Linked DNA regions of Mus musculus: all the other regions are reported to be linked to region 3. The links are microRNA targets in miRTarBase. Many come from high-throughput screens and were not tested one by one. Region 3 holds a microRNA gene; each other region holds the end of a gene's coding sequence.

The links. Region 3 holds the annotated microRNA mmu-miR-34b-5p (AGGCAGUGUAAUUAGCUGAUUGU, at 2,661-2,683, shown strand). A microRNA usually pairs through its seed, bases 2 to 8, with sites in the 3' UTR of a target mRNA and lowers its output. Matches are read on the target gene's strand: a 7mer-m8 pairs with bases 2 to 8, a 7mer-A1 pairs with bases 2 to 7 and ends in A, and an 8mer does both.
Region 1: the mRNA of Abcd1 is a reported target of mmu-miR-34b-5p. Seed matches in the 3' UTR shown: 7mer-A1 at 3,169-3,175, 7mer-A1 at 2,744-2,750 and 7mer-A1 at 2,593-2,599.
Region 2: the mRNA of Jph3 is a reported target of mmu-miR-34b-5p. Seed matches in the 3' UTR shown: 7mer-m8 at 1,541-1,547.
Region 4: miRTarBase lists Kdm5a as a target of mmu-miR-34b-5p. The part of its 3' UTR that is shown has no 7-base or 8-base seed match.
Region 5: the mRNA of Ptprs is a reported target of mmu-miR-34b-5p. Seed matches in the 3' UTR shown: 7mer-m8 at 2,901-2,907.
Region 6: the mRNA of Zfp532 is a reported target of mmu-miR-34b-5p. Seed matches in the 3' UTR shown: 7mer-A1 at 1,940-1,946 and 7mer-m8 at 2,090-2,096.
Region 7: miRTarBase lists Slc48a1 as a target of mmu-miR-34b-5p. Seed matches in the 3' UTR shown: 7mer-A1 at 3,025-3,031 and 7mer-m8 at 2,198-2,204.

What each region holds. Positions count from the first base shown.
Region 1 is chrX:73,736,733-73,741,044 of GRCm38, reverse strand. Abcd1 (ATP-binding cassette, sub-family D (ALD), member 1) reads right to left here. Exons shown (of 10, transcript NM_007435.2): 8 at 4,171-4,255; 9 at 3,817-3,942; 10 at 2,511-3,733. The coding sequence ends at 3,514. Among named protein-coding and RNA genes, the nearest start is that of Plxnb3, 18 kb to the left of the region's middle.
Region 2 is chr8:121,788,476-121,792,787 of GRCm38, forward strand. It overlaps Jph3 (junctophilin 3), which reads left to right. Exons shown (of 5, transcript NM_020605.3): 5 at 924-2,608. The coding sequence ends at 1,004. Among named protein-coding and RNA genes, the nearest start is that of Klhdc4, 39 kb to the right of the region's middle.
Region 3 is chr9:51,101,981-51,106,292 of GRCm38, reverse strand. Mir34b (microRNA 34b) reads left to right here and starts at 2,648; the gene lies at 2,648-2,731. Mir34c (microRNA 34c) reads left to right here and starts at 3,183; the gene lies at 3,183-3,259. Hoatz (HOATZ cilia and flagella associated protein) reads left to right here and starts at 4,215. Exons shown (of 6, transcript NM_177702.4): 1 at 4,215-4,312. It also overlaps a transcript of Btg4 not described here.
Region 4 is chr6:120,437,719-120,442,030 of GRCm38, forward strand. It overlaps Kdm5a (lysine (K)-specific demethylase 5A), which reads left to right. Exons shown (of 28, transcript NM_145997.2): 28 at 1,269-4,312. The coding sequence ends at 1,475. Among named protein-coding and RNA genes, the nearest start is that of Il17ra, 23 kb to the right of the region's middle.
Region 5 is chr17:56,409,928-56,414,239 of GRCm38, forward strand. Ptprs (protein tyrosine phosphatase, receptor type, S) reads right to left here. Exons shown (of 33, transcript NM_011218.2): 31 at 4,024-4,178; 32 at 3,802-3,937; 33 at 2,499-3,466. The coding sequence ends at 3,398. Among named protein-coding and RNA genes, the nearest start is that of Mir6977, 6.8 kb to the right of the region's middle.
Region 6 is chr18:65,686,539-65,690,850 of GRCm38, forward strand. It overlaps Zfp532 (zinc finger protein 532), which reads left to right. Exons shown (of 10, transcript NM_001361053.1): 10 at 424-2,905. The coding sequence ends at 918. Among named protein-coding and RNA genes, the nearest start is that of Oacyl, 9.6 kb to the right of the region's middle.
Region 7 is chr15:97,789,628-97,793,939 of GRCm38, reverse strand. It overlaps Slc48a1 (solute carrier family 48 (heme transporter), member 1), which reads right to left. Exons shown (of 3, transcript NM_026353.4): 2 at 3,870-4,037; 3 at 1,248-3,353. The coding sequence ends at 3,217. Hdac7 (histone deacetylase 7) reads left to right here. Exons shown (of 25, transcript NM_001378971.1): 24 at 1-10; 25 at 198-1,259. The coding sequence ends at 243. Among named protein-coding and RNA genes, the nearest start is that of Slc48a1, 7.4 kb to the right of the region's middle.

The sequences.
Region 1 (4,312 bases), not on the chromosome of region 3:
ATAGCAATCTATGGATGTCTATCCATCTATATCCACCTACTAACTACTTGTTTTGTAGTGAAATTCCTTGTAGAGACACAAGTCTCTTTGAAGTACATGGTTTAGTGGTGTTTTGTAAATTTGCAATGTTGCACAACTATTACCTCTGTTATTCCAAAACATGTTCATCACTTCTCCCCCCACAGAACCCTTGTATTCATTAAACAATCTCTCCCCATAGCCATTCTCCCCACCCCCTCCAGCCCTGGTAACTGTTAATTTGCTTTATGTTGTTATGGATTTGTCTGTTCTGGATATTTTATTTAAATGCAATCATATAATACTTGGACCTGTGTGCTTGGCTTCTTTGTGTCAGCATGTCTTTAATGTTCTTGAATATTATAGCATGTGTTGCTGTTTCACAACCTTTTATGGTCAAATAATGTTCTATTGTATAAATATATATGTTTGTCTATCTGTTTCTGGGTACTCAGGCTTCTGTAAATATTGTATAGAATCTACACAGTAAACATCTACATAGGTTTCTGACTTGATTTTTTTGGTATGTCTTGAGGGTGGAAATACGGGCAGTGTGGGAACTCAGCTTAGCTTTATAAGAACATCCCCTCGCCGGGCATGGTGGCGCACGCCTTTTATCCCAGCACTTGGGAGGCAGAGGCAGAGGCAGAGGCAGGCAGATTTCTGAGTTCAAGGCCAGCCTGGTCTACAGAGTGAGTTCCAGGACAGCCAGGGCTATACAGAGAAACCCTGTCTTGAAAAACAAAAAACAAAAAAACAAAAACATCCCCTCTATTCCTAGCAGCAGTTGTCTGGCCTGTCTCCACCAAGTGTCCACACACAACTCCATGGCCTGCTTTAAGGTCAAAACCACTCCGGACTTGACCAGCGAAGAGTTTCGGTTCAATTTCTTTTAGAGTCTCCTACATGCTGGACCGCTCATCCCCCTCCAGGGCGGGGTAAGGATGTGTCCTGATTGCAGGGCCTTCCCAGGAATTCTCTCAGCAGAAGTGGGGTTGGTTTGTCCTTCATTGCAGCATGAACCTGAAGCGGCTGGCCTATGTGAGGCTGCTATGTGGATGTGGAAACCTTTGAAGGAAATATTCTTCCTGTCAGAAGAGAGGTGCGAAGTAGCTGCTGGTGATAAGGAACTGTGGGGAAGTTGTGGACACAGTGGGCTCACTTTTGAAAAGATGCTCAGGCCATTTTCTAGTGCTTTGTATATTGTTATATTGCCTTAATAAATCTTTTCTAAGGAAAAAAAAATCCATTGCAGAACCCAAGGCTATTCTCATTTTACCTACTCAGTGAATGAAAAGGTCAGTTTAGGGCTGGCGAGATGGCTCAGTGGTTAAGAGCACCAACTGCTCTTCCGAAGGTCCCAAGTTCAAATCCTAGCAACCACATGGTGGCTCACAACCATCCGTAACGAAATCTGATGCCCTCTTCTGGAGTATCTGAGGATAGCTACAGTGTACTTACATATAATAAATAAATGTTTAAAAAAAAAAAAAGAAAAGGTCAGTTTAGGAACTTTGGGAAGGTCATGAAAAACTTGCCCCTCCGGAAGGGAGAGGCTAATTAACATTTCTCACACAACAGTACAGGAACTGACCTGTGGGTGGGGACACATTCCACAGGAATTTTGCCCACCTTCAAACAATGGAAGTCCTTGTCACTTCATTCCCTAAAGACCAATCCGTTTAAAGGGTGCACTGTTCCACCAATCATATTGTGCCTAGTTGCTGATGCTCTATTCTGCCCCTGGAAACCTTATAAAACCGTGTGCTGGGGGTTGCCACCTCTCCTTAGAGTCTTTGATGCTTTTTGCATCCCAGCTCCACGTGGTTCACTCAGGGGATCCTCAGACTTAACGTGACCTTTTGCCTCAGTCTAGGCCTTTCCTTCCCCCTGTACTGGATATCTTTCTCTGGACATACCCCTGGGCCTTTGGATACGTTTTTCCTTCTTCCTAGAAGGTTCAGAAGCGCCAGTGCAACTCAATCCAGGAATCACTTCTTTCCTGTGGCTCTTTCAGTGCTCAATTTACCTCCTTGGCATCTCACAGGGTTTCTATAGCATTGCTTTCTGCACTCCCCTTCAGACACTTGGCAGGCTATCTTTGGCCTCAAGTACGATTTTACAGCAATGATTGTCATCTCCCTAGGGTACAAAAGGCATAACCAGAGAACACTAACTTTTTCGAGTACCATGGGGTTAGCAACTGACTAGGTTCTTACTTGGGCCCATGTTTGGGGGCAGGTCTCCTTTTCTCCCAACAACATTGTGACCTCTCCTCAGAACTTTTGTTGTTGTTGTTGCCTGTCTTTTTGAGAGAGATAGGGTCTCACTTTGCAGCCCTGGCTTTTTAAAAACTCACTACATAGATTGGGCTAGCCTTGAACTCACAGAGATCCACCTGCCTCTGCTTCCAGAGTGCTGAGATTAAAGGCACAATTATGCCTGGCTTACTCCCCAGAACTTATACCAGACACCAAGTTCAGGAGGCAGGATTGTACTTTCCAGAGGTTTTTACTGAGAGGACTGAGGGGGGTACCCCAGCTGGAGGGCTGAAGGCCCAGGAAAGGCACACAATGGCAGTAGGGTGTGTGTGTGGGGGCGTCTCCCTCTTGGTGAGGGCTGGTTTAGCAGACACAGCACCTCCTGTGACCCCTCTTTGGCACTGAGCTGGGAACATGGTGCCCTCACTTCTGCCTAGCTGGCAGAGGGCACCCCCAGTGGCAACTGGCAGTATAGGCTGGTGAAGGGCCAGGTTTGGCACCAGAGACTGGGTAGATTGAAGGGACCACCCAGTCACCTCCTGTGCTGGCAGGGTACTCATGTTGGCAATTTAGACAACTATAAACTGGGAGTCCAATAAATTAGGTTGTAGAGGTGGAGGAGTGGGAGGGCCAGGGCTATATTCTCTTCATGGCTCAGGAGGAACTCTGTCCTTCTTGGGTAACCATGGGGAAGGGCACACTTTGGGCCCTGTCTAATCCTGGGCCCCATTAGGCTGTTTTCATGGCAGGGGGTATCCTGTGGGACAGGGGCATTGGCTGGTCACACAAGGGGATGGCAACAAAGGGATGGATCAAAACAATGACAAGGATTTGGGTTTCGGCAGGGATGTAACCCACAACTACCAGGGTTGCCACACATTCTGGCTGCTGGCAGTAAGGGAGGCAGCTCCTGCTTACTTCCTATGGCTCAGCCATACTGGTATAGAGTCAGGACTGGGGACTTCCAAACCCTCCATCCCTCCCCAGGGAAAAGTAAAAGACACACTGCCCTGAACAGGGCAGAGTTCCTGGAGCAGAACCCAGAGTGAAGGTGGAATGCAGTGTGTCCCCATTCATATCTACCTGTCCCAGAGTGGGGTCTTCAGGGAATGCAGGTAATTGGCTAGGAGGCTTGGGAGGGGTAAGGCATGCAGGGCAATGGGGGAGGGGAGGAGCTTCCTTCATGTGATCCGAGAGCCTGGAGAAGGGTGGGAGCTGGGGATAAGGTCCCCAGTCAAGTGGGGACTCCTGGGACCAGGGGTTGAACTGGAGCTGCAGCTTCGCCAAGGATCTGGCGGAGCTCCTGAAGGCGCCCCTGCATCTTGGGGATGCCCGCCAGTTGCTGCTCCAGGCGCTGCTTCTCTTCAGTCAGGCTCAGGCGGGCAGCAGAATCCAGCTTCTCAAACTTCCAGCCTCCTTCCCCATCAAACTGCAGCAAGTGTGTGTGGTACTTCCTGAACAGGAGAGGGTAGAAAGCTGTCATAGCTGCTTTCTCACTTCAGGTGGCAGCCTCACCCACAATTCCAAGAGCACCTACCATAGGGAGGGTCGATGGGTGATGGAGAGCAGTGCGATACCAGCATCTTTGGCTGCTTGGAAGATCTTGCCTTCCACATCAATGCTCACGGCACTAGTGCACTCATCCAGGAGGGCGTACTTGGGCCTTAGGGTGGGGGTGGGTAAAGGGGAAAGCTGTGAATTACCTATCACTGTCCAACTTTCAGCTCCTGGCTAAACACTTGTGACCCACAGCCCTGCTGCACTGGGGGAGAGCTGGGAGAGAGGTGAAACTCCTTCAGGTAGCTCCCTATTGGGAGAACTCATTTTTTCCTCTCTTGTTGGGTCCAATTTACTGAATGTCCTTGAAAGTCGCTGCAGCTGCAGTGCTCACCTGTGGTAGAACATGCGCGCCATACCAATCCTCTGCTTCTCACCTCCAGACAGGACGTCCTTCCAGTCACACACTGCCTCCCAACCTGGGCAGGAGGTGAAGGACTCAGCTCAATTCAACAGAAACCCAATGGGAGTCAGGG
Region 2 (4,312 bases), not on the chromosome of region 3:
AGGAGAATGGGCTGGGCTGCTTGGGTCCTGAACCCTGGTAGGACTGGCTGCTGGATCTTTCTCCCTTTGGCTAGTTCCCAGGGTATTTTAAAAAGCCTTTGCTTTGGCTGTAGAGGTAGTTCAGTAGGAAAGGACATGTGCCGTGTAAAGCACACTAAGTAAAATATGTATATGAAGCCTGGTGAGTCAAGTGTGAGGACACTCAGGTATAGAGCAAGAAATAAGGGGGAAAGCTCCCTGAAGCCTGCAGTTCTGGCCAAACAAACTTCTTGTTGGTTCAGTGTCTCGAGGCTGGAGATCTGGCTCAGCAGCTGAGAGCACTGGCTGCACTTTCAGAAGACCTGGGTTCAATTCCCAGCACCCACATGGCAGCTCACAGCTGCTTATTGTGATGTGCTCTGCACACACAGGGCCTGGCTGAGGCTTCCGCAGTGACAGTTCCTGTGTTCCTCTCTGGACGGCTGTCAAGGGCATATGCAAAGCCTCCGTCGCGATGGGACTGTGGGGCTTCCCCTCCTGCTCTGTGTGCAAAGTCTGCTCCCTGGGCTGCAACAAGGCAAGGTACATGAGCAGGCAGCCAAACAGGCAGATGTCTTGGGCCCCTCGGGGCCAGTGGATGTGATGGGGGTGACGGTGAGCCGTGTTGAGAGCTAAGGGCTTGAGTAAGTGCTGGGAGAAGCTAGTTACTGGGTGTATGATAAGAACTAGACCCAAGAGAGCAGCCTATGGGCAGCAAGCAGGTCTTTGAGCACAGGAGACTCCAGGTGACCCAGGTTAGAGCTTCCCACCAGGTTGAGGAAGACTCGTGTCGAGAGCCCTGAGGGCCAGCAGAGAGGGACTGCAGGAGGGGAGCCTCTCCATCAGGCACTGTGTGTACCGAGGCCCTGCACTGGCCTCACTCTCGCCTGTCCTCTCTGTTCCAGGGCTCAGCTCCCATCTTGGTCGTCATGGTGATCCTGCTCAACATTGGAGTCGCCATTTTGTTTATTAACTTTTTCATCTGACAAGATCGGTGTGACCACGGAAGCGATGATGTACAAAAGGGACGCTAAAAGCAAAACATGGAGGGGGCTCCATGACTCGGGACAGCCCCACGGCGCCTGTCCTTCCACAGAAGAACAACATGATTGGGTATCAATCACAGTTTGCCTTTTTTTCTGGGTAATGTTTTTTTGGATTTTAGCCAAAATTCTTTGCTTGTATAACACAATGCTGTGTGGCCTGGAAGGAGGAGGCCGGCATGCCACCCGTCCAGCTTGGTGTGAGCGGGTCCGGGCAAACCAGTGGCCAAAAGATCGGGACCTTCATGTTTCCCGCCAGGTGTGGAGGAAGGTGGCGCCTTGACCGGGGTGCCCGGCAAGCCGGGAGAGGGGGAGGGCAGCCAGGGAGTGCAGCTGTGTGAGTAGCTGGGAGTGTGGGCCCAGGCCCAGGGACAGGGTGTCCTGGCCTCTGTCTCCATGGAGTCTGTGCTGCGTACCTGTGGAGGGAGAGGAAAGCCCCTGCTCTTCTTCCCAGAAAAGACCATGATCCCTCTTCTTGGCACTGCCCCAAGGCTCTCCTAAGGAGGCCTCCTTCCCACACTGAGTCTTAAGGCAAAGTCTGTTCCCTGCTGTCCTCCGCTCACTCATTGTTGGCCCTGTCCAGCCATCCTCCCTCCAGACCCAGGGAGGCCATGCTGCAGACGTCCAGGGCTGACCCCGACCTGGCCGGGCACATCTGAGCCCTGATGCCAAGGGGGCTATGGCCCACATGCCCCGGACTGCCTGACAGCACGCCTGGGTTCTGTCTGAGCATGTGCCGTTCGTTTTGCACCTAGTATGCAGGATGTATATTCAGGCTTCCGTGTCCCTGGCAGTGGCGCCCCACGGAGGACGTCACCTCTCACTGACCTCCACGGGGTCTCACATCTTTGCACTGTGCCTGCCTCGACTTCCCCTAACAGATATGCATATTCCCTCCAGATGCCTCAGAGCTACTCCAGAGAGTCTGGTCCCGGGACAGGAATGTGGTTGAAGCCAGTGGCTAGAATGCCCTGGGCCCCGTTGCATACCCAGCACTCCCGGATGTCCAATGTAACTTGTTTCAGTCAAACAACAGGTTCCTCATGTCTCTGCCTTCTCTACCAGGGTTGTTCCCTCATCCAAACAAATGAATAAGGGATGCCAGCCCGCCTGGCCCCCGTGGCTCCGTCAGTCTCCTTGGGTGCGCCCGCCCGTCTGTCTTACGGACTCCGCCTTGCTTTGCTTGTGTTCTCTGCTACCTTTTGAGCAGATTTCTTTACTACAGTGCACTGGATTGCTATATTTTTAACCAGAAATAAACTACAGATTAGAGCATGTTCCAGCGACGCTCAGCTTTCTTGTTTCCGTTATCCACGCTGTTCCCTGTCCACCGCCTGTCCCTCCTCCTGGAGCTGGTTTGGATCCGGGGAGGTTGAAGGGAGAGTGAGGTTCAGCAGGTGACCCGATGCATTTCTGGTTTCTAAGGGGTTCCATCTTTTTTGTACAGCGTACTTTTCCCTTCACCTTTTTTTAATATCAAGTGGTTGCTGCAGATCTGGCGTGAACCAAATAAAGATTCCTGCTCTTTGCAGCCATGAGAGCCGTCCATACTGGGCTATGTGAATTGTATTTGTCTGCAGACGCGAGGGGCTCAGTGTGCATCCCAGAAGCTCCTTGCCCATCAGGGTACCTACTCACATCACCTGACACACTCACACAGCACAGCCCAAGTGTGCTTAAGGGGCATTGGCAGGGGACAGCGCCCACCCACTCACTTGCTATGAGTGATCTTACCATAGCCCAGAGTCTACAGCCTGGCATCCCGACCTGGCTGTAGTGTGCGGTAGAGTTGGTTCCAGGCAGGTGATGGAGACTAAGCACACTGGATCCTGAAGGATCCAACAGGCTGGCAGGCAGGGAAGGGGACACCTTGCTGCAGCCTGTGGCTACCGTTCTCCTGCCCCTGCAGAGCCTGCAGCATGCTGAGCAAGATGAGGATGGTAGCTGGCGGGGACAGGACAGTGTCACTCTGGCTCCTGGGCACACCACGTGTCATGAGTTTTAACTGAGATCCAGCCTAGCCTCAGAAGACACACTTTTTTCCAGGGTGAAGGGAAATCGTTCCTGACACCCAAGGCCCTTGGTGCCTGCAACATGGCTGTACAGCTGTTGAGCACTGAGTCCTGCACGTTGCAGACTCACTCTTGCACATATGGAGGGAGTCCCAAAGTCTCACACACACACACACACACACACACACACACACACCAGGCAGCAGCACAGAGCATCGGCTGACTGGTCATGATGGTGGTGGTGGTGGTCAGAAATTCCACAGCTACCACAACGCACGGGCCATGCACAGGATCTCAGGCAGCACGGACAGACTGTTTTCTATGACATCCTGACAGACACCTGAAAAAGGCTCCTCCACATCCACACTTATCCCAGGAACCACAGCCCATGGTCACTAGTGGCCAGGTTGGTACCCAGGGCAAGCAGAGGACAGCCACGTATCCCACTTCCAGAGTGTTCTTGCTCACTGGACAAACAGGTCCAGCTTAGACACCCTCAGGGAGACTGAAGACACTGCTGGGAGCCCAGAATGCTCAGATGCCCAGTGATGAACAGGAGACAAGAGATAGTTTGAGTTCGTGGTTACCCTCCAGAGATCTTCGAGGCAGTAACCCCTGCACAGACATCAGACACATCCTACCTTACATCTGTACAGCCCTGCTCCAAAGGCCGTGTGGCTGCTTATTCCATCCCCTCTGTGACGTTCTGTAAGAGAGGATGTGGGATGTTACATTCTCTTCCTGTTTAAGCTTAGCTTTACTGGCTCCTCCTGCTCGTGTCTTCCTCTAGAGAAGTCTCTGGCTGCGAAGCTGAGCACAAGTTCCTATTCCAGCATGTTTCCACATCGCGCAGTCAGCTGACAGCCACCCAGGCCACTTCCTGACACCCAACAGCCCTGTGCCACCACTTCACCACTACAGTGGGTGAGCATCCAGAAGGGGTTGTGAGCCCTTAGCTCTGCTGTCTCGCTAAGGTCCAGCTGCAGGCCAAACACACATCAGGACAACCAAGTGTCCCTGAATGCCAAGATTCATCTGTCCTATGCACCCTGCTGGCCTTGAAAGAAGAAAACATATAGCTGGCTTTGTTCAAACAGCTAAGCTGCATTCCAGTATGAATACTGGGAACATGGCCGCATGGCCCAAGCCTTCCCCTTCTGAGGAGCTAGACAAGGCCTGCCTGGCAGCATGTGTGTGAACAAGGGCGGCGGCAGAGTCCTCATGTGGAGGGCTGAGTGC
Region 3 (4,312 bases):
GGACGTGTACAGACGATGTGCTGTGTGTACTGACAGGAGGAAGTCATCTCTCGATGGCCCTTTTACAGGAGTCATAAATTAAGTCAAGATAAATTTGTCAGATTCACGCAGGAAGTTCTTGTTTTTGATACTTTTCATGGTTTCCTTCCGGTCAATACTATCAACCCATCTCCTCAAAGGTCCTACCCCATCTCCCAGATCAACAAAAACCCAGAAATTAAAGCAGTAAACAGCTCCTCCTCAAGGTGCCTTCCTGGATCTATCTAACCAAATGTAATGGTCTGCTTGGGCATTTTAACCACACCACAGGCATTCTTACTTAGATTAAAACATGAGTCTCCCTGGTCTCTAGACATGCCTAGGCATGACCAGCAGATGCAATAAGATCCTTGGAGTTTCTCTAGTAACTGTGGGCAGGATCAACAGCAACCCTAAGAACAGACATTCTTTTCTATTGTTGCTTTCTAACAGAACTAGGGCACACGCATTTTTTTTTCATCATTTTACTTTTTATCATTGAAGAAAAAAATTTAGTCTAAATTTCAAGACAGTTTATGCAATGATAGCTTTGGATGGAAGCAATAAAACTCAGGTAAGATATTTAAGATGCTACTAATAGAGAAAATCCCTAAGCTGGGTGGAAGCATGACACATGGAGTGAAATTGAGCAAAATGCAAAATAAATGATTTTTTAATGATGTCCTCCTAAAACTTGTAACTCTTCATAGTGTTTATGGGATGGAGGCTATTTCTACTACTTTTATTTATATTTGAACGTTTAAATGACCTTTTGTAGGATACATTATACTTTTCTCAAATACAAGAAGACTGAATACAAGATAGTTATTTACAAATGTCTTTCATAAGTTAATTTTATAATAATCTGGCATTTTCTACTTCATTTTCCTTTCACTTAAGCCTTCATAAAACAATGACTCTGAAGGAAAAAAACATTGTCTTTTACTTTCAAAGATAATGTTAAAATATACACAAGTTTATTCTTGGGAAGTTCTTGGGTTTTAATGGTTTCCACTTGGAATTTGTGTTGAATGTTCCTGATGATTGGCATATATTCATGTAATTAGTGGCATCTACAAGACCATTTGCTGGGCTTACAGGTATCAGTGTATAGCTAAGAAATGTCCCTTTGTAGACTGCAAGACTGTTGGATCAATACAAATGGGTGTCATACAGCATACAGGAAGACCACAGTCTGGGACGGCTACTTCCTACTGAATTCCACAAAGTTTGCAATCAGAGAATACTGTATATCCTCTCTGGGCTCAATTAATTAAAGGAAAGGAGAGGAAAGACTAAAGGAAAGAAATATTAGTGAAGATGGCGCAGAAATGCTGTCCCCTCAGCGCCTCCTATTCCCAATATACACAAACACGCACCCCGTTATCAGATATAAAATAGCAAAAACAAGGGGAATGTAACTGACAGAAGATATGGCTTCTCGGGCTTCTACAGACCTCATCCTTAATGTCCAAATCTACCCTTGCTTCAAGGATCTACCTGAACTCTCACCTCCTCCATGATGGTGTCTGTCAGCTCTTGTTGGCACACCTCCCACCCCCACCCATACCTGTTTTTTTCTATTAGGAAAATCTATCAGTTTAGCAACTTTATACTGTCTGGAGTAATAAATAATGTGTTCACATTTTGTTACCACCTAGACTGTCTGATGGGTAGTAAGACAAACGCCTGTTAGGTGCTGGATTTGTAACATTTAAATAAAACAGGAGCCCAAAGTGAGACTAGATATCCTCAAGGCTCACGGGGAGATCATCAAAACTGTGTCTTTGATCTTATAAGGGCCACAACTTTGACCTACCAACAAGGGTGTTGGTTCAATGTTTGACCAGAAGAGTGGCCCACACTTCACTGTATGGCCCTGTAAGAGGTAGTCCTAAGAAAGAACTTGGGTACAGGCAAGGGCAATCCTGCAGGTATGAGTGCCCAGGCCTGCTCAGGCAGGAAGGCTCCAGATGAGACGCCTGGGAAGCGGTTTCTGAGAATGGGCATATGAACAGTGAGGAGGCCTGGGGCTTCTTGGGCAATATATTGGGAAGGAGAGATGGATGTAGGTCTCTGCGCTTCTTTCTTCGATGTAGCAGTAACTACACTGTGAAGATAAACTTCTCAAGAATCTGTCTCTCCATCTCCCCGGCCCCTTCCCAGGAGGCTCTGCAGGAGCCCTCCCATTGCCCCTTCTGGTAGCTTCTGCCACCCCTCCCCCACTCGCCCCGCCCCCTCGGCCTCGGGGTTCCAAGGGCGGTTGGTCGCTGAGCCACGGTCACTCGGCCAGTAGGAGCTGCGGGGCGCGCGGGCTGGACAGAACCGGCTCTAGACTTGGGTCTGGAAGCCGTGAAGAAGTTGTTGGAGGCGGGTCAGACCCGGCTTGCGGGAAGAAGGACTCGGGCCGGATGCCCTGGGGTCCGGGCTGAGTCGGGGGTCTCGGGGGGGACGGCGGGGACAGGGGGCCTCAGCGCCTGGGGGTTCACCTGGGGTCGCGCGCGGCCCTGCTGGGTGTGGAGGGGCCTCGGGAGCCTGAGGCACCTCTCGCTCCGCCGCCCTCGCCTGTCGACCGTGGCGAAAGGGGGCGAGGGGCCCGACCCTCGGGAGCTGCAGTGGCGGGCGCCCGGTGCTCGGTTTGTAGGCAGTGTAATTAGCTGATTGTAGTGCGGTGCTGACAATCACTAACTCCACTGCCATCAAAACAAGGCACAGCATCACCCGCCGCCCGCGGGAGGAGAAGCCAGCGCTGCAGCCCCACTGACTCCGCAGAAAGCCGAGGCCGGAGCCAGGATGCGTCAGCAAAGGGCCGGGAGCACGAGGTCTAAGTGCAAGTAACCCTCGGAGACCGGCGGCCTCCTTTAGGGACCGTTCGGCTACCTGTGTGTAAGAGCCAGAGCAAAAACGGTTCAGTGATGTGTAAAGAGAATCGGTATACACCGGCCTTAACATAAAAAAAAAAAAAAAAAAAAAGGCCAGGAAGAGCCCCCCCCCCCCCCCCCCCAGAACAGTTCCTGCTGCTGCTGTGATTCACTGCCTGATTTCCACTTCTGAGAAAGCTATCACCAAGGCAGCGACTAGAGTCAACCACAGCTTGGCTGACGATTTGCTCTGGTCACACCAAAGTCTGAGAGCACCAGCTAAAGACTGCATGCTTTTTTCTGAGTCTAGTTACTAGGCAGTGTAGTTAGCTGATTGCTAATAGTACCAATCACTAACCACACAGCCAGGTAAAAAGACTGAAATTCCTCCGACTGAGCCTCCTGTGAATCGTCATTTTGGTGAGGACAGAGCCATAGGGAAATATTCTTACCATACTATTAGTGGTTTGGGGGGGGGGGGGGAACCGCTAGCCCTTAGCTGCTAAGTATACAATGTATCAATTTGTGTGGGGTACATTTTTTGTGATTTTTAGATATATTGGAAAAATAGAAATTATCCCTTAGCTGATTTGGTCATTATATTGACTTGTGATTATAAATCTTTGGACTTTGCCTGACATATTAATAACACTCTAAAAAATAAAGCGCCACGAAAATCTCAGCAATCGTGTTCATTTCCTTTCCAAAAACTGGCTTTAGGATCTCCATTTCAGCTCCTGTCAACCCCGTAAAGTCATTAAATGGTTAGTTGCTATACAGACAAAATCTCCAGGGAAACGTCTCACACATGATTGTGACCTGGAAGGGAACGTTAAATGTTTTCATAATTTTCCATGGGGCAAGGGAACTCAGCCCACTTAACCAGGTATATTTTTTAAGGTATTAACAGTTGCGTTCTAGGCAACTTTTCGTGGGAATAATTAGTGAACACGATTTAAAACCAGCTGGTTTCCTAATATCTGTAATAAAAGATTTGAGAGGTTTTAAATCACACAAGCTGTATCCACCGGTACTTCTCGGCCCAGTTCTAGATTAGCGCTTTATGCAGATGTATCAATGCAAACCTGAGAATTTCCCCAGAGGTAAGAGTGCGAAGCCTTGGCAATCTTGTCCAAAAGAGGAAGGCGCTCTTTAAAGCTCACATTATTGGGCTATCTGGGGGAGGAGGAGACGCTGGCTGAGGATCTAAGAGACAGTCCAGGACTGTACACATCACAAAGTTGAGGCTTTTACTCTTAAGGCTTGACTGGCCCCGAAAATTGTGACCTCGACAGAAGCCAGCTGCTGATGGGCCACAAGCCCTCGAGGAACCCCAGATCTACGGAAGAAGAAACACAGGCATTCCGGTGGTGGCAGTTACCAACAGGACGGTTCTCCGGTAGGGGCGGGACGCCAGAGCTAAGGAAAGCGTC
Region 4 (4,312 bases), not on the chromosome of region 3:
TATGCTTAGGAGGGAACACCTAAAGAATTTAATTACAGGAGGGGAAATGAACAGATATTTAAGAACAATACAAATATTTAAGAATGCTTAGAACAGAAATGATAAAAGATAATAAAAGCCAAATCGCAATATTTTATAATTTTTCCATCCTTTATTATAAACCCAAAACTTACTGACATGACTTGTTTTACAAGCTATGGAAGCATTTTAAAACCACTCACTTTCCCTAAATAAAACGTATTTACCTAGCCAAGGCCTCCTTTGTCCTCTGGCTGTGTTAAGGGACTTCTTTGATCCCTTCATAATTCTTTGCTCCAAGGTCTAATAAAACTTATGATTTTAAGTGCCTTCCTGTATTGCCACCACAGTAACCAGCCTTTGTATTGTGAAGGGGGATGCCCGTAGCCCTATTGTAATGATAGATCTTGTCTGATAGGACATTAAGTATAAGGTTGCCTTCTGAACAGAAAAGCCTGAAGTTGCACTACTTTCCTACTTTACTATTAGCGCCAAGGTTTTAAGTCACCAAACTAAAGCCCTTTTGTGCCCCTCCTAGTCACTGTAGGGTCTGAAGGATCAGTGTTTGCCTGGCATCTGCCGCTGACACCTGTCACTTTCTCAGACTAATTTTAAACCCCAGAGTTAATCTATTGACCTGTGTCTTTGACTGTTGTAATTGGTTAACTTGTAAGATTTGACCTCTGATATTTGCTAACTTTTTATAGGGAGTTGTATTTGTAACGGAAGAAGAGAAGAATAAAAAATAGTAGTTTTAAAAGTGGCCTATGTGACTGCTTTTCTAAAAAGGTATTTAATGCTCTTAGTACTTTGGCTTATCTCTTTGAAATAAAGCTAATCCACAGGATTGCCTCACATTGTTGTCCTCTTCCTTTCTTGATTGTTAATTGCATTATTTTAGAGCCTAGAAATTGTTAATATTAGCTAAAACTACTTGGCTGCTCTATTAGAAATTTCTTTTTTGTTAAGTATTCCCCAATCATGTTTCTGCCTCACAAGGAACCCCAGGTATTCATGAGGGAATGGAGTACCTAAGAGGCCTAATTTTGTGGACACACTATGGTAAAATATAATTTGGGGGTATTAACTTCTCAGCTTCTTTCTTTGAAAAATAACCCCATAAGAAGTCATATCTATCTCTGGATATCCCAGTTGTTTGCTCTTCTAATTCCAAGAAAGTTCTCTGGTTTGCTTTTATTCTGGCCTTACTGTTATGATGCTAAACATCTCCCAATCTTTATCTCCTACAGGTAGACTGGGTACAGTGTGATGGTGGCTGTGATGAGTGGTTTCATCAAGTTTGTGTTGGTGTATCCGCAGAAATGGCTGAAAATGAAGATTACATCTGTATAAACTGTGCAAAGAAGCAGGGGCCAGATAGCCCAGGCCAAGCACCACCTCCTCCCTTCCTAATGAGCTACAAACTACCAATGGAGGATCTTAAAGAGACCAGTTAGCAGATGTCTGGTTAGCTTGCAACATGGGGGGAAGTGGACCACATTGAGACCTTACTCATCAAGCAGAGTGGTTCCGACCACTCAGAATGTTGTTTCCAAAGATGAATGGACTTCAGAAAAAGTCCTCTTAGTGCTGGCTTCCTCTCTGCATGGATTGTGTGGGCTCCATTCTCTTATCATCTGTGCAGAGGATGTCTTCTTTGGTGCAGCAGCCAAGTATTTCAACTCTTGATTCGTTGAGTGTGGTTTGCTGAATTAAGGTCAGGTTCTAATGGAACTCTCAGGAGGCTGTTTGGCATTAATACATTGATGTGCTTAGTGGGGCATATAAGAAGTGGCTTTCGACCAACTGATACTTGTTGTAGACGGTTACAACCTACAGGTGGTGCCATTGGAAGGCCCTGACCGTTTAAATATCCTTAGTTAGGATAATTGGACAGGAGTCAGAGCACAACTTTGTAATTACTGACATTTATGCCCTACTGATCCAGTTAAGAGAAGCAGGCCAAAGTTATCCCTTCTAGAAGTCTTGGAGTGGCAGTGCAGTCTATGACCTCAGCTGCTTGTGTTTATTTAGACCAATAAGAAAATCCTCCAAAAGATCCCCTCACTTTCCTCAGGAGGATGTCAAGCAGGTTAGAATATCTGATTAGACTGGATTCTGGGAAGAAGGGGTTTTTTTTTTGTTTGTTTGTTTGGTTTGGTTTGGTTTTTTCTTACTTCAAGGCAAGTAGGCCATTGGTTTGAGAAGTCCATCTGGGTCTGTGTTTTAGAAAAGAAAGGTAGGTACACAGATCCAGGTTTCTGGAGGGAGTAGGGATGACTAATGAGAATGTTTTACTGAGCCTCGGTGATGCATGCTTATCTGGGAAACCCTCATTCACAAGTATTCCAGACTCCACCATGCTTCACGCATGGCCATGAGCAAGACTGGCAGATAACAGCTTTTGCCTTGCAGCCCTAACCCCAATGCCTGTAGTTTCCAACATGGCCTCAGCAGATATTTGTGAATAACACCATGGCTTCATCAGAGGATGTGGGGCTGTAGGTCCTCTGGGTGTGAAGCTGTTCTAGTAAACCCATTTTTAAAAAGAAAGACTTGTTTTTACTTTTTTCTAAATGTCTCTGACTACTGACTGTTCTATAGATTATTTTTCCTTTTTTGATATACATATATGAATATAGATATATATATATATATTTACTGTTACCAGCAGCGTATGATAGAGTTTGAGCATCAGAAATCCATTTGGAAGCTTGCATTTTCTTTCTGCTTTTTGATAAAGAAATCCCATTCCTTCCTTGTAGTACAAGGAGTTAGCACTTCCTTCTTCATTCTCACCTAAACATATCTTCCACTTTTCTTCTATTCAAATAGATAATATATTTCCTCCATGTTGGGACTTGTCCCTGTCTGTTGGGCAGCTTGGTCTTATTCTAGTCAGTGCTGAATGTTTTGTATGTCTGAAACTATGGTGCTGTGCCCCCCCCCCCTGCCCCTATTGGGTTCTGTGTTCTTACAAAGGTCTTAGGTGGACTCTGTAAACTCCTGCTAGAAGGAGAATAATATATTTTAAAGGACAAAAAGGTTTTCTAAAAATGGTGTTTATCTTCACTATCCTTTGTTCTTTATTTTGGTTTAAGAATCTGCAATTTAACTTAAACTCATCACTTGTCCTGTTAAAGGGGCATTGAGCAAACCTAGGAAGTTTGTAGCCTCTGTTCCCCTTTACTCCAGTCTCTTAAATAAATGTCTTCTAGTAACTAGAAGTGAGATGTACTGTCCAGTTACAGACTGTGTGGGTATGAGGGCTACCTCAAAAGGCATCTTAGGAAAAGAAAAGGTTTTCTTACAAAACCCTTTATCCCAAGTGCTAACCAGGCTTGGCCCTGCTTAGCTTCCAAGGTCAGAGGAGACATACACGTGCAGGTGGTACGGCTATAGGTACAACATCCAATTTCTGAAAATACTTTCTCTGGTTTATACTACCTACTTTTTGGTCTCTTCACTTAATGTTAAGTAACATATCTTGACCAGTTATGTTGTTTGAATGTGTTGCTGTGCTTGTATCTTGAATTTCCATCTCAATGTGAGTGTGAGCTAAGATTTCAGTAATGGTTACAAGGTTAATTAAGTAAATAGTTAATTTCACACATTTTCATTTTGCCAAACATGAAGATTATCACGTAAGAATTTTATTTGGTTATTGTTATAATGAAAAAAAGCACAATATTTCTTAACTTTTAGTCTTTGTAAAAGACTTGAGATACTTGTGGTTTAAAATTGAGTGTACACCAACCCTTCAGAAATTTACAATGTAAGTGATAGAATCCCAGAATACATTTTACAATTTTGATTTTCCTTCCAGTTAACTACTTTTCATTAACTGTGTTATCAATAGTAAGGAGTCATGAGGATACTGAAAGGTGACTGTTTTGAGTAATTTGTGTTCTTTGTACAGTGTTTGTCTGTTGGAGACCTCAGACATAGGCAGTCTGTACCTGTGAATAGCTGCCTGTCATCTTCTGATGTTTTGAAACTTTTAAATATATAATTTAATTGATTCATTCGGCTCTTCTGTACTTATTTGAAGACTTTGATATCTTAACCATAGATTTAGACAAAAACTCAAAAGACCATAAGGGAGGGGGTGGAAAGATGACTCAACGGTTAAGAATCCTGGCTGCTCTTCCAGAGGACCCAGGTTCAGTTCTCAGCACTACATGGTGGCTCACAGCCATCTGTAATGTCCTCTTCTGGACGTTACTGCACTGTACACATGTGGCATACAGACATCTATTCTGGAAAATACTCAAAACACAAATACAAGTAATTA
Region 5 (4,312 bases), not on the chromosome of region 3:
ACCAGACCTCCAGCCCCTCCCTGGGGTTTCAAGGCAGGGCTCCACCCTGACCACGCCTCTAGGATCTCCACCTCTTAAAGAGCACCTTACCTGGTCCGGTGTCTGGGTTCTCTTACCCCGACCTCCTGTCCTTAGCCATGTGCTTTCGTTCCCAAGGCTTGTTTTATTCCGGACTTCACCTCTAATTGACGCTAAGACTCCAGCCTCAAGGCTGCGCAGCCACAACCTGTCAGTTTATCCCACCCCTCCACTCTACAGCCTGGGGCCCTTGCAGACACATTTTCATTCCTTGGCCAAACAGCACACCAGGATTGGTTTTCTGTAATATTTGATTCAAGTAATTAGCCCTCACATGTTAGACTCCCGTATTTACTATCTACTTGGGCTAATTGTTACATTTCCCCAAAGACAAAATTGTTGGTTAAAGAGTATCTCAGTGTAGCTGGTCCTCTGGCCAAATAAGGGAGGGCTACTGACTGGGGTGTGTGTGTGTGTGTGTGTGTGTGTGTGTGTGTGTGTGACTGGGGTGTGTGTGTGTGTTACAGTCAACCTGCTGGTCCTCTGGCCAAATAAGGGAGGGCTACTGACTGGGGTGTATGTGTGTGTGTGTGTGTGTGTGTGACTGGGGTATGTGTGTGTATGTGTGTGTTACAGTCAACCTGCTGGTCCTCTGGCCAAATAAGGGAGGGCTACTGACTGGGGTGTGTGTGTGTGTGTGTGTGTGTGTGTGTGTGTGTGTGTGTGTGTGTTACAGTCAACCTGTACAAGATGATAGAGGGAGGGTATTTCTGAAAAATCTTTTAAAAATTTAGTTTAAAAAAATTTGTGTCTGTGTAGAGGTATATTACATAGGAAAGCCACTACTACCCTAGGAAACCAGGGATGTCAGATGCCTGGAGAAAGTCCCAGGTGCCGTGAGCCTCCTGGTGGGTGCTGGGAACCAAACTCAGGTCCTCTGGAAGCCCAGGCTGTAAATAGCCAGTTGTGATGTGGGCCCCACTTCTGCCTGAGGACAGCATGGGGCTGTGGAGGTCTGTGCCAAAATGAGGGTACAGGTACCCCTCAGTGACTTACAGGGTAACTCTCCCTGCTTCCTCCTGTCTTCCAGCCAGCTTCACAGTCAGGATGGGCCCCCCTGACCCCACACACACACAGCTGAGCACAGCTAGGCTCGCAACGGGAGGCTGAGGCAGGCAAAGCAGGGAAGAAGCCACTTCTGTGAGGAGCAGACACTCATAGCTTTGTCTGAAGGGCTTTGGGGCGAGAGTGGCCAGAGCCGGAACCTTTGTCCACCCGACTGAAATGCAAAACGAGAATCAGATTCTCTGCTTTGTCTCCAGGCTATGTACGGCCCTTGAGTCTCTTGTGGTTTTGACAGGTATTGACAGGTAGTGACAGTGGGAGTTTGCTTCTGTGGACCTGGACTTTGGGTGTGGGAGGGAGGACTCCTGCTGCTCACAACTGCCTGAAGCCAGGTCGAGGAACCCAGCTCCTACGGCCACCATGGACAGGTGCCACGCTCACATGGAAAATTAAAGATTAATTTTGAAATAAAACACTGGGGAGACAAGCGGGGTCAGTTAGCCAGGCCCTCTGCTCCTTCATTCCTATGTAACTCAGGAGCGCAGCCCTTGGGATGAAGTCATAGCAGTGTAAAACCACTGTCGGTTGAAAACAGTTAGCCAGGACCTGTGGCACGTGCTGATAAGCCCACTGAGGGAAGTGGAGGCAGGAGGGTTTTGAGTTCAAGGTCAACTCAGTGGGGATTCATACCCCAAAGTGAACATAAGACCATTAAGGAAGTAGATACAGTTGCTTGGCCCAGGGTACTTGGCGCATGCTGTCACTACTTGTCAAGGTTGGGACAAGCCTGAGTATCTTTTATGCTTCAGACACGACACCAGAGCACATCCCATAGTAGTTCCAGCCTCTGTATAAGGATCTCACAGAGCTCCAGCTTTAACCCAGAGACAGAGCTGAACAACAGCAGGTTCCTATCACATAAGGGAATATTACACAGCCATGAAAGAGAATCAGGTCGTAAGGGATGCTGGGCCACCCCCACCCCAGCTCAGACACTTCGGCCTCAATCTCTCTCCAGAGGGATGGACTCGAGGCTCTGGCAGTCTATGAAGGAGTCTCCTCCACTCCAGAGCTCACCCCAATTCTTTTACCTGCCTTACTGTCGCTTCCTACTCTTCACCAACTCTGCCATTGTTGCCAGGGTCCCCTCATCAGGCTTTGCTGGCTGGTGAGCCCCAGAAACGTCAGGGCTGGAATGACAAGTATATCCACCATGCCTCTTTGCAGCACCTCTTTGCCTGGGTGCTAGGATTTGAACTCGGGACCTCATATTTGAGTCCACTAAGCTGTTTTTGAAGCCCAGAGCCACTGTGTGACCGCAGAGGCCAAAATACCTCTTCTCTGAGCCCACTGGTCACCAGTGTCTGGTCCTGCCTTTTCCCCAACAGTGGCAGCATTAAGGAGCACTCCATGCACTAGGTCGGACGAATCTTTCTTTAATACAAAGTTGGTTTATCTACATACAGGGGCGTCACCTGCTGCTTCTGCCCAAAAAACAGCGGGGACGAGTACTGACCCACTCTCCTACAAAGAGAGACCTCAGTTGCTCCAGGGGGTTGGATATCCCCCAAGTGTCCCGTAGTCCCAGGTCCTCCATGCGGGGCACAGAGGTCATGAGTAGACGAGGACCCTCCCTGGTGTGCCAGGGACTGGAGCAGCAAGGCCAGCCACTGTGTCCTTGGTGGCCATGTCCCTGTAGTCTGGCCCGAGTGCCCCCAGCGCCTCACCCTCCATATCTGATATGTCTGAAGATTGATTAAAAAAAAAGTAAAAAGGTTAAAAATAAAAACTAAGCGCACCATTCACATGGGGATGGGGGCAGTGTCGGGCATGTGGGAAAGATGCACACACAGAAGCCGTCGAAGTGGCCGCACATAGCCGCCACACGGCACACTAACTATGAAAAAATAGGCCTCCCACAGAGGCACAAACAGTGATCTTGTTTCTTTTTCAAAGTTTTGACCGGCACGATTTTGTTTTTTTCTTAAAAAAAAAAAAGAAAAAAAGAAAAAGAAAAAAAATATACACTATTAAAAAAAAATAAGAAAAAAAATGTTGCCAAAAGGCAGGCAGGGGAGTGCGGAAGCAGAGGTCGGTCCCTGTGTGACCCCAGCCTGGGGAGCAGTGGCTCCTTCTCTCTCCACCCCAACCCCCCACCCTGGAACCTCGTTTTGGAATCAGAAGGGAATGAGGAAGGCAGCGCCTGTCTCCGCGAAGAGGAGGTCTCCCTGGGCCGCATCCTGCCCAGCGGCGGGCCTAGGCTCACATCCAGGGCACTTGGCGCAGGGCTGAGGTGTTGGGCGGGGCCCATGGCTTATGTTGCATAATGATCAAAACTGCCCAGGTATTCCAAAGCCGCCTGGAAGCAGAACTGGTACTCGTCCTGCAGGGCAGAGGAGACACAGGCACTCATTCCTGGGAGGTTCCCACGGTGGCAGCAGTCCTCCCCGCTCAGAGCCTACAGCCCCTTCTCCCAGCCAGCCCAGTTCTGCCCTGGCCTCAATCTTCCAACCCAGGAGGGTAAGATCTCTGACAGACCCCAAACCTGCAGGGGTGAGGGGCCCCTTTGCCAGAGCCTGAGTTTCCATGCAGGGACTTTGGCTCACCGCCTCCTCAACCATGGGGGATGTTTGAGGCACACCTACAATCAGCCTATAGGTTTCCAGGAGGGAAACTGAGTCTCAGCGGCAGGGACTTCTTGCCCATCACCCCCCATACCTCTGTCTGCACCATGGCAGGCCTCTGGGTCCGAAGCACCTTCACTGTCTGGAAAATGTCCACCACGCCCTCGTAGCGCATCCGCTCAAGCACGATGCTCAGGGTGATGAACACTCCGGTCCTGCCCACTCCGGCGCTGTGGGAGGAGGGGGATGTGCGGTCATGTGGGTGAAAGCCTCTCAGTGGCCCCAGGACCTTCAGGAGCCCAGGTGTGGCACTCACCTGCAGTGCACTGAGATGGGTCCGTCCTGGCCAAACTGCTCCTTGGTCTTATGCACTTGGCCGATGAAGTCAATGAAGCCTTCCCCTGACTTGGGTGCACCCTGCTCTGGCCAGTCCGTGAACTGGAACTGTCGGACGGTCCGGGACTGGCCATCCTGGGAGGATAGCTGGGTCACCATCCCTGTTTACTGTCTAATGGTGTCTTCCACACAGACCATGTGGTCTTTGCCAGGGGGCCTTTGTCATCCAAGGTGCCACCTTCCATTGATGCTGGCTGCCCATTCATCTG
Region 6 (4,312 bases), not on the chromosome of region 3:
CTTCCTTGGCCTAAGTGTGCTGTGTTTCCCCTTTCTGTGGAACCCACTGTCCGCAAAGCACACAGGCCTTCCTCCCTCCTGGGCCTATGTACTCAGCTTCTAGTTGTCAGAACGAGGCCCGCTTATCACCGGCCATTACGGTCCTTCCCCGTGTTTTCCTACTAGAGCCCTTCCCACGCCCTTGCTTTGTCTTCTGAGGTGTGGAAGGCCTGCGGGGCTGCTCCCCTGCATCCCGGGGTCATGAAGGCACTGCTGTGCACACTGATACGGAAATGCTTCCTATTTGCGGGGTGAATTCACACCGTTAAGGCCTCCAACCCTACTCCATCCAGTATCTGCTTTCTTGTCCGGCATAGAACCCACCATCTTCAGTTGTATCTTTTTGTTTGTTTGTTTGTTTTGGTTCCCCCCCACACAACAAAGGTTCCCAGTCCCAAGCGGAAGTTGGAGGAGCCGGTTTTAGAGTTCAGGCCTCCCAGAGGAGCCATCACTCAGCCACTGAAGAAACTGAAAATCAATGTCTTTAAGGTCCACAAGTGTGCCGTGTGTGGCTTCACCACCGAGAACCTGCTGCAGTTCCACGAACACATCCCACAGCACAGGTCGGACGGCTCCTCCCACCAGTGCCGGGAGTGTGGCCTGTGCTACACGTCCCACGGCTCCCTGGCCAGGCACCTCTTCATCGTGCACAAGCTGAAGGAGCCTCAGCCCGTGTCCAAGCAGAACGGGGCTGGGGAAGACAGCCAGCAGGAGAACAAGCCCAGCCCTGAGGACGAGGCCGCCGAGGGGGCAGCATCAGACAGGAAGTGCAAAGTGTGCGCCAAGACTTTTGAAACGGAAGCTGCCTTAAACACACACATGCGGACACATGGCATGGCCTTCATCAAATCCAAAAGAATGAGTTCAGCTGAAAAATAGCCACAGAACTTCCAGGAGGACAACCCCTATCCACATAGGAATGGAGAATAAGACGTTTTTGTTACCAAAAGTTGGCAGTATAACAAGAGTTACCAGTACCGTCTAGGCTGTCGCCACAGACTCCCTGTCCTGCCCTCTCACCTCTGCAGATGTGTCCCTTCCCATAAGTGTTAAGGCAGTATTTGAGTTTTAAAGAGTTTTGTATATATTTAAATAACGTTTTATACTCTTTGTTACATGTTTGTATCAGTATTTGGTGGAAAATGTTTTGAGGTTTCTTTGTGTGTGTGTGTGTGTGTGTGTGTGTGTGTGTGATTAGGATTCTCTTTTTTTTGTACTGTTTCTTTAAAATGGAGTTCTTAGTAACAGCGGCAGTTCCTGAATTCGAACCAACCATTTTGTATGTTACAAATTTGAATGAGTTCAATAATAACAGGCTATCATGCCTTTTTTAGTGTTTTTTAATTTTTAGAACTCGCCACATAAATTGTAAGTGATTGTGGGTCTCACAACACTAGCAACTTTTAAGTGTCTTAGCACCACACGCAGCGTGCCTGCTCCTAGCAACCGAGGGCTCCAAGGACAACATCACCCAGGTGAGGATGTGGCCTGAGCCACCCCAGACAGCGTCAGCCTTCCAGGCCCTACCTCTGTCCACAGTGGACAAAAGAGGTCAGGAGTTCAGTAGGGTGTCCTTCAGTCCATCTGGGAGAGTGAGGAAGAAGAGATTCAAAAAGTGGAGACAGTGGAGCTGGCGAGTTTTCTAGGTTAGTTCACAGGCTGACTTACAGGGCACTAGGAGGCAGGCTAGGAAAAGGGCAGCCTGTGGTCAGAGTTGAAAGTCATAATTAGACCTATAGCTCTCTATTGTCAGGTTTTGTCATAGAACTCACCAACTATTCCGAAGACATATATATACTTCAAGGGTATCAAGTATATCTCTGGTTCTTGATAGGGACAAAAGGGCAGGTTTGACTTAACCCTTTGCTGTCTACACAGTTGGGTTCCTGTTCTGGGTGCTACTGCCAAATGTTCTGGTACTTAAGTGTCGAGACGCCCAGCCTCACCACCGACTTAGCACTGCAGCAGCCTGTACTCTGCAACTGGCCATAGACGAGCCACCAGGCTTCTAGAGTCGTCTCAGCACCCTCTCAAGGTCACCTGACTGGAGCACTGCCGACGACGTGCTCTTGGTCACATCCCTGTATAGTTCTCTGGGAAAGCTATAAATATATATATTTTGGTTATTGTTTTGTGTTTTCCGTTACATTTTATATCTTGTATTTATCGCCCGATATGTTTTGTACTTTTGTTTTCCTAAAACAAAGAAATCCATGTGTGTGTATATAGAGACTTGCATGCTAGACTGTAGTCAATGTTCAGTTCCTTGAAAAGTCTTGCTGCTGTCGGGTGTGCACCTTACACCGCCGCGACTGTATTCAACCCATTTCACATGTAAATAAATGAGGAACGTCTGGCCCTTGAGCTTCTTCAAGAGAGTTATTGGTGGGTCTCTGACATCATACAGTCGGGGGAGTGACTCATTGGGGGACAGGCTGCAGAACACTGCAGGCTTCTTTCCCCCTCTGAAGAATGGCTTCTGGTTCCTATCGGCGACCAACTTGTCGCCACTCTGCCGCTCTCTGTTGACGACATGGGTACAATCCAAGGGTGTGAGATATTCCTCGGCTTGAAGTGTAGTTGCTGTTGCGTGTCACATCCTCACCCACTTGTGTCCACTGCACTTTCACACGTTCCTGCATTTGAACCTTGCAATAAGCCTGCGTGGCAGACACGCAGGTCCGTGCAGCCGTACAGTTGAGGAGGCTGCGCCCAGGTTCAGCTCTTCGCCCGGTCCCTCATAGCTGGTAAGTGGCTTTGCATAATAGAACCCAAATATTTTGCTCTCAATCTTGCCCTTTGTGGTTATGTACATATTGACAAATATTCATTTATTCAACAAATAAAAGTTATGTGCAAAAAAAAATAACATAGTCAAACTTTTGTTCGGGGAAACTATGGCTTTTTAGGAGTTTTGTTTATACTTACATGTGTCTGTGTGAGTGTAGCACACAGTTTGAGTGTGGGTGCTGCAGAGAGACCAGCCCGAGTCACAGGTGGCTGCAAACCAGTTACCCAGCATGTTGCTGGCCACCAAATGCGGGTTCTCTGCAGGGGCAATACAAGCTCCAGAGCACTGAAAGCCGTCTCTCCAGGCTTTTATTTACACTACAGCTTTTATTAGATAACCTGAAAGTAATTTTACTTTCAAAATTAGCAAGATCTCTTGATAACGCGTAGACCTAAGACCTGTTAAATGTTTAGTTTTGAAGGGTTACAAGAACGGCTCTTTAAAATGCCGAGAGGTTCAAAACAGAAATCAGAACCCAGGTCACAAAACTGGCATTCAAGTGCTGTCCCCTGCAGGAAAGCCTGGCCAGTCAGCACCTCCCAGAAGAACTGGTGACCTAAAGGACAGATCTTTTTTTGTTTGTTTGTTTGCTTGGTTTTGTTTTGGTTTTTTTTTTTTTTTTTTTTTTTTTTTTTCCGAGTCAGAGTTTTCCTGTATAGCCCTGGCAGTCCTGGAACTCACTTTGTAGACCAGGCTGGCCTCAAACTCAGAAATCCACCTGCCTCTGCCTCCCGAGTGCTGGGATTAAAGGTGTGCGCCACCATGCCCGGCTTTAAAGGACAGATCTTGAGGACATTTCCCAGGATACAGCAGCGATCAGGAGCTTGTGGCAGCCAGTGAAGGAGTCAAGAAAGATAGAATGAGGGGGCCCAAGGTTAGTTTTGTAGACATTCCAGGTAGAAGACCAGAGTCCTGGAAAAGCCATACAGGAGCATGCCTGACCATGAGTCAAGTGATGCGCATGCAAGTTAACACAGCACTGAGCCAGGATCCCAGTGCTGGCACTTAGCCCCCGTCCAGCGTTCAATAGTCCCTGGTGCTAAGTGTGGGTATTTGAGAGAGAAGACAGAGCAAATGAATGTCTGATGAGTTGTTTTCCTTATTTCCAGTGTTCACTGTGAGTTGGCTGAAGGAGGTATGGCTCCCTAGCCCCTCACTCCATTTTCTCACTGGCCCAGGAACTGGAAGGGAAACGTTGGCCCAGAAGTAACAGTAGGAGGAAGCAGTGTGTTCCCTAACTCAGTGACCAGAACCAGTCCTGTGGTCCCTGGCGTGTCAGGAAGAACTTTCTTCCCATGATGGCCGTGACAGGAATCGTTGCCGGAACTGTGTGCTAGCGCAGCGTAAGGCCTGGGTGCAGTGGCGGTCGCTACGGCAGGGCAGAGGCTTCTGGTGTGATCCCGTTTTCTGAATTAGGGAAGAAAGAGTTTCATGCAATGAAACATGGGAAAAGAAAGTGCATTAGAAGGTTCAAGCTTAGAT
Region 7 (4,312 bases), not on the chromosome of region 3:
CTGAAGACAGGTAACACCAGATCCCTAGCCCCAAGCCCAGGGCCTTCGAATCTCCTCGGATCCTCCCATGTCGAAGACCTCAGACCCCCCATGCAGCTAATCTCTCAGGCCTTTAAAGCCTGACTATGAGGGTAACCCCACCAAGGCATGCCTACATCTCGTGGCTCTCCTACACCCCGCCCTTGTCCCATTCCCAGGCCCTCGGAGCGGCTGGTGGAAGAGGAAGAACCCATGAACCTCTAGGGTTTCAGAACAGATCGCGCTTCAAATGTGGCTCTCCTCGTCTCTGATGTCAGCCCTGGTCCTGGGTCTTCAGAGATCCTCTGGGCAGGTAGTCAGGTCCAGAGCACAGCCTACCCTGACGGCTATCCCAAGGAACTTGAGAAGACCATGGGATCTGGGTAGGGGACCAGGGAGGACTCTGGGAGGAAGCAGGTTGGGCACTAGGGCACAGCTGGGCTCTTCCAGAACAGATTAGGCCGTCTGGTGTCCACACCCCTAGCTGTGGTCTCCATCCCTCCCTCAGGACTGCACAGAGGGGGACTGGCTCAACTGGGCCACCCATAACCACTATTCTTAACTTGGCCTCGGCCAGGGTGGCCTTTCTCAGGTTCTGAAGGGCTAGGAGCTGGAGGAGCCAAGGGTCCCCTATTCCTGAGTACAGGAGAGTTTCCTCTCTCCTGTTTCCTCAAATGCCTTTCTGGTAGCTCTGGGCTCTGAGAGCCATTCTGAGCTGCTCTCTCCCTGTGAGTAGTAGTCACCTGCAAGTCTCCCATCAGTCACTGTCTCGCCAGAGGCCACCCTATGTGGACCATCTCAGTGCCCCGGTGCAGCAGACAGGTGCTCTCTGAGTCCTGTGTCTCCTAACCCAACGGTGCCAAACCTTCATCTCCCTTCAAAAGCACAACACAATCCCAGGGATGCCTGGTCACTGTCCCCAGTATGAGCCTTCTGTTTCTGGGGTCCCTCCCACCCCTCAGCTCTGGCTGCTGCCCCACATAGGACTAGCTTGGCTGAGGGGAACAAGATGGGAGAGTAGACAGACATGGGGGAGGGGAGGCCACCCCAGAAGTCTTCGAGGCTTTTGAGGTTTAGGTCTGGGACCAAGAAAGAGTATTTGTGTGTATGTGTGTGTATGAGTGCGTGCAAGAGGGTATATGTGTGTGTGTCTTCCCACAACCCCACCGTACCTTGTCTATGTATGCATGTTTTTGTAAAAAAGAAAAAAGTGAAAAAAAAAAACAAACTTCTGAACAATATATGTTTTATTTGCTTTAAAGTCCTTGGGAGAACGCCTCCTGGATGTTGGTGGGACATCGTCAGTGGAGTGGGTGTGCACCCAGCATCCTGTGATGGGCTGGGGAAAGGGGACAAGTCTGGACCTAACTCAGACCCTCTAGTCCCTTGTCCTTCCTTGGCTAATACATGCAGGAAGAAACCACTCCAAATACATGCTCACCAACCCAGGTGAAAAGGGAGATGGCCCCAGGCTGAGCCCTGCACATTGGGCCCTGTGGGATTCGGGAATAAGATCTCAGGTTCAGGTTGCTAAGACACCGCAAAAGGTTGTGACGCAGGCACGCCTGGCTTAAGCCAGGCCTAGCCGGGAGGTCAGTAGTCTTTACCTCCTCTATCAGTAGGAGCGTCTACCAGCAGAAGGCTCTAGAAGTGACACTGTTCCTTATCCTTCCCTGCTCTAAAGTCCCATGGTGTTTTTACACTGTAAAGGCCAGGGTGAGGCAAACACAGGCCAGGACAAGTGTACCCAGCGTGAGAGAGGTGCTAGCTCCTGCCTTTCTGCTTCTGAATCCACACATCCTGGTCAACTTGGAGCCCCAAGTAGTCTGGCTGGGGTAGAAAAAGAAAGATTCCCTTTCCCATCTACCTTGGCTTAGGGTGGGGAGATGGAATCTGCAGGGATGTTGAGTCTGTGGGCATCCTAACCCTGGCTGGGACAGAACTGGGAGAGCAAAGGAGATCTCAGCTGGTGGTCTCCCCATAGGGGACCAGAGATGAGGAATACCGTCTAGTAGCCCCAAACTTAGGGAGATGATCAGACAGCTAGAGCCCCCATCTTGCCCACTCTTGTCCCCTCTCAAAACCGCCCACCCCCCCAAAGAAACACCCTGAGGCTGGTTAAAATGGCCGCTGTATTTCTGCTTAAGTGCCCATAACACAGGTAAGGCAGAGAGCTGGGGGCAGTGCCCAAGTGGAAGAGTAGACGTGCAAAGTGACAACCCATCAGAGAAGGTTACAGAGAAGAGTAGCAGCCCCTGCCCTCCCTCTCCGCTTAGGTAAGGCCTTGGGCCCATGTCCACTCAGAAGAGTTCCTTCAGGAGAGAGAGAAGGTGAAAGGTCAGAGTTAGGATCTGGTGCAGGGAGGAGGTCCTCACGGTCAGGGTGGTCTTGTGCAGTGAGGGGCAAGGTTGGAGACTCAGTACAGATGGAGAGCTCCCACTTGCCCCCACCAGGTTGCCCCCGATCCCAAAGCCCTTCTAAGTGCAGGGGTGTGTTTCCTGTGGTCCTCAAGTCTAGCCTCATCCGAGGAGTCCTGCTCTGGTGTGTGTGGTCATGTGTGCATATGCGACACATGGGAATGGTTGGCTGGCGCTAGCACCCTCATGGGAAACAAACTCTGGATGGGAAGGTAGGACGGACGGACGCTGGATTCTGTCCAACTGTGCTGCTTAGGGAAGGAGCCAATTGTCAATTCCCTAAGGACCGGTGAGTTTGGCTACCCGACACTTCAGGGTAACAGGGTGGGGAACAGGGGATGGAGATCTGTACTAAAGATTCCTCTCTTGACCAGACCTTTGATGCCTCCCCCACACACAGCTTCAATGAAGTCTGGGGTAGCAAGGAAGCCTGTCCCAGCCCCTGTCACTAGCCATAGTTCCAATCCTACCCATTGAATTCATTGTCGTGGCCCTACTTACAGAGATCCCTCAGAGGGCTAAGAAAATAGATCTATTTGGAAAGGTCTAAGCTGCCCTCTAGCTGGGCTAACGGGCAGATTGGGCAGATTGGCAGTATCCCTTTAACAGCTCTATATCTTCCCCAAAAGGGGACCAGACAGATTTCTGAGAAACTGAACGGGCCCATATACTCTGCCATGGTTCTGGAGTTCCCCAGGGGTTGGGGTGAGCTCCCTTGCTGACTCGGAAGCTGAGTCCAGATCCCGAGGGCCCCCAGGCTGTGGTGACCTCATTCCCTGGGTTAGAAATCACTAAGGATGCTGATGTCCGCAAAGTCAGCCCGGTAGCGGTGGGCGTAGAGGCTAAGTAGGAAGGCCCACTTGAAGGAAATGAAGCTCCAGACACAGGAGAGGTAGTAGCTGTTCGGGTCTTTGAGACCTGCAGGGAAAAGAGCCAGACGGTAACTTGAGAGATCTGCCCACAGCATCACAGCTAGGAGCCCCTTCTTCCCACTCCATATCCTTCCAGCCTCCTGACCTCTGAAATCAGTGCTATCAAAGAATCAATAGAGGTGGGCATGTGATGCAGGTTTAGAGTAACAAACACTGCATGTTTGGTTACAAAGCTGGGATCGTGAAAGGAGGTCAGAGATGGCCAGCAGGTCTGTACCCATCCCCTGCTTCTGTGGCACACGCCCTTCCAACCTACATCACGGATACAAGGATCAGCCTCTGCTAGTTCTTATCACCACCACCAGGGGGCGCTGCCCGCCCGATGCTAGGCAGAGATTAAAGGACCCCCAGCAACTCCTACCGGACTCGAACCCTCCTACCCCTGAGGAGATGGGGGCTCTCATTCTCCCTATTTCAACAATAAGGAGCCCGGGCAGTGGGGAAAGGGTCAAGCAAGCCATCCAGGCCCTCTCCCGTCCTCCTTTCCCTGGACGGTCCTCACTCTGATGCTGGGTGATGGCCAATGCCAGGAAGGTGCAGAAGGCGGAAACGGAGACTGCCGAGAAGAGAGCACCCACGAAGAAGAAGCCGCGCAGCCCTCTGAGCCAGGTCCTCCAGTAATCCTGCATGTACATCACGTGAGTCACCAAGACCCACAGTGCCAGGACACCTGCGGGGACAGACTCAGTCAGCAGCACCCAGGCACCTGCCTGCCTGCCAGGTCACCTGGCATCTAGCCCAGTGGTGCCTACCTAGGAGGGCCCTTGAGGTCCACTAGGCCAGATCTACCTGCACGATCACACCAGGACTGCACGATGGCTCTCATGACTGTGATATCTGTGAGATGTGACGTCACCACCACACCTATCTCGAAAATACTGTTAGCCTGGTGGCAGTGGCACACACCTTTAATCCCAGCACTCGGGAGGCAGAGGCAGGTGGATC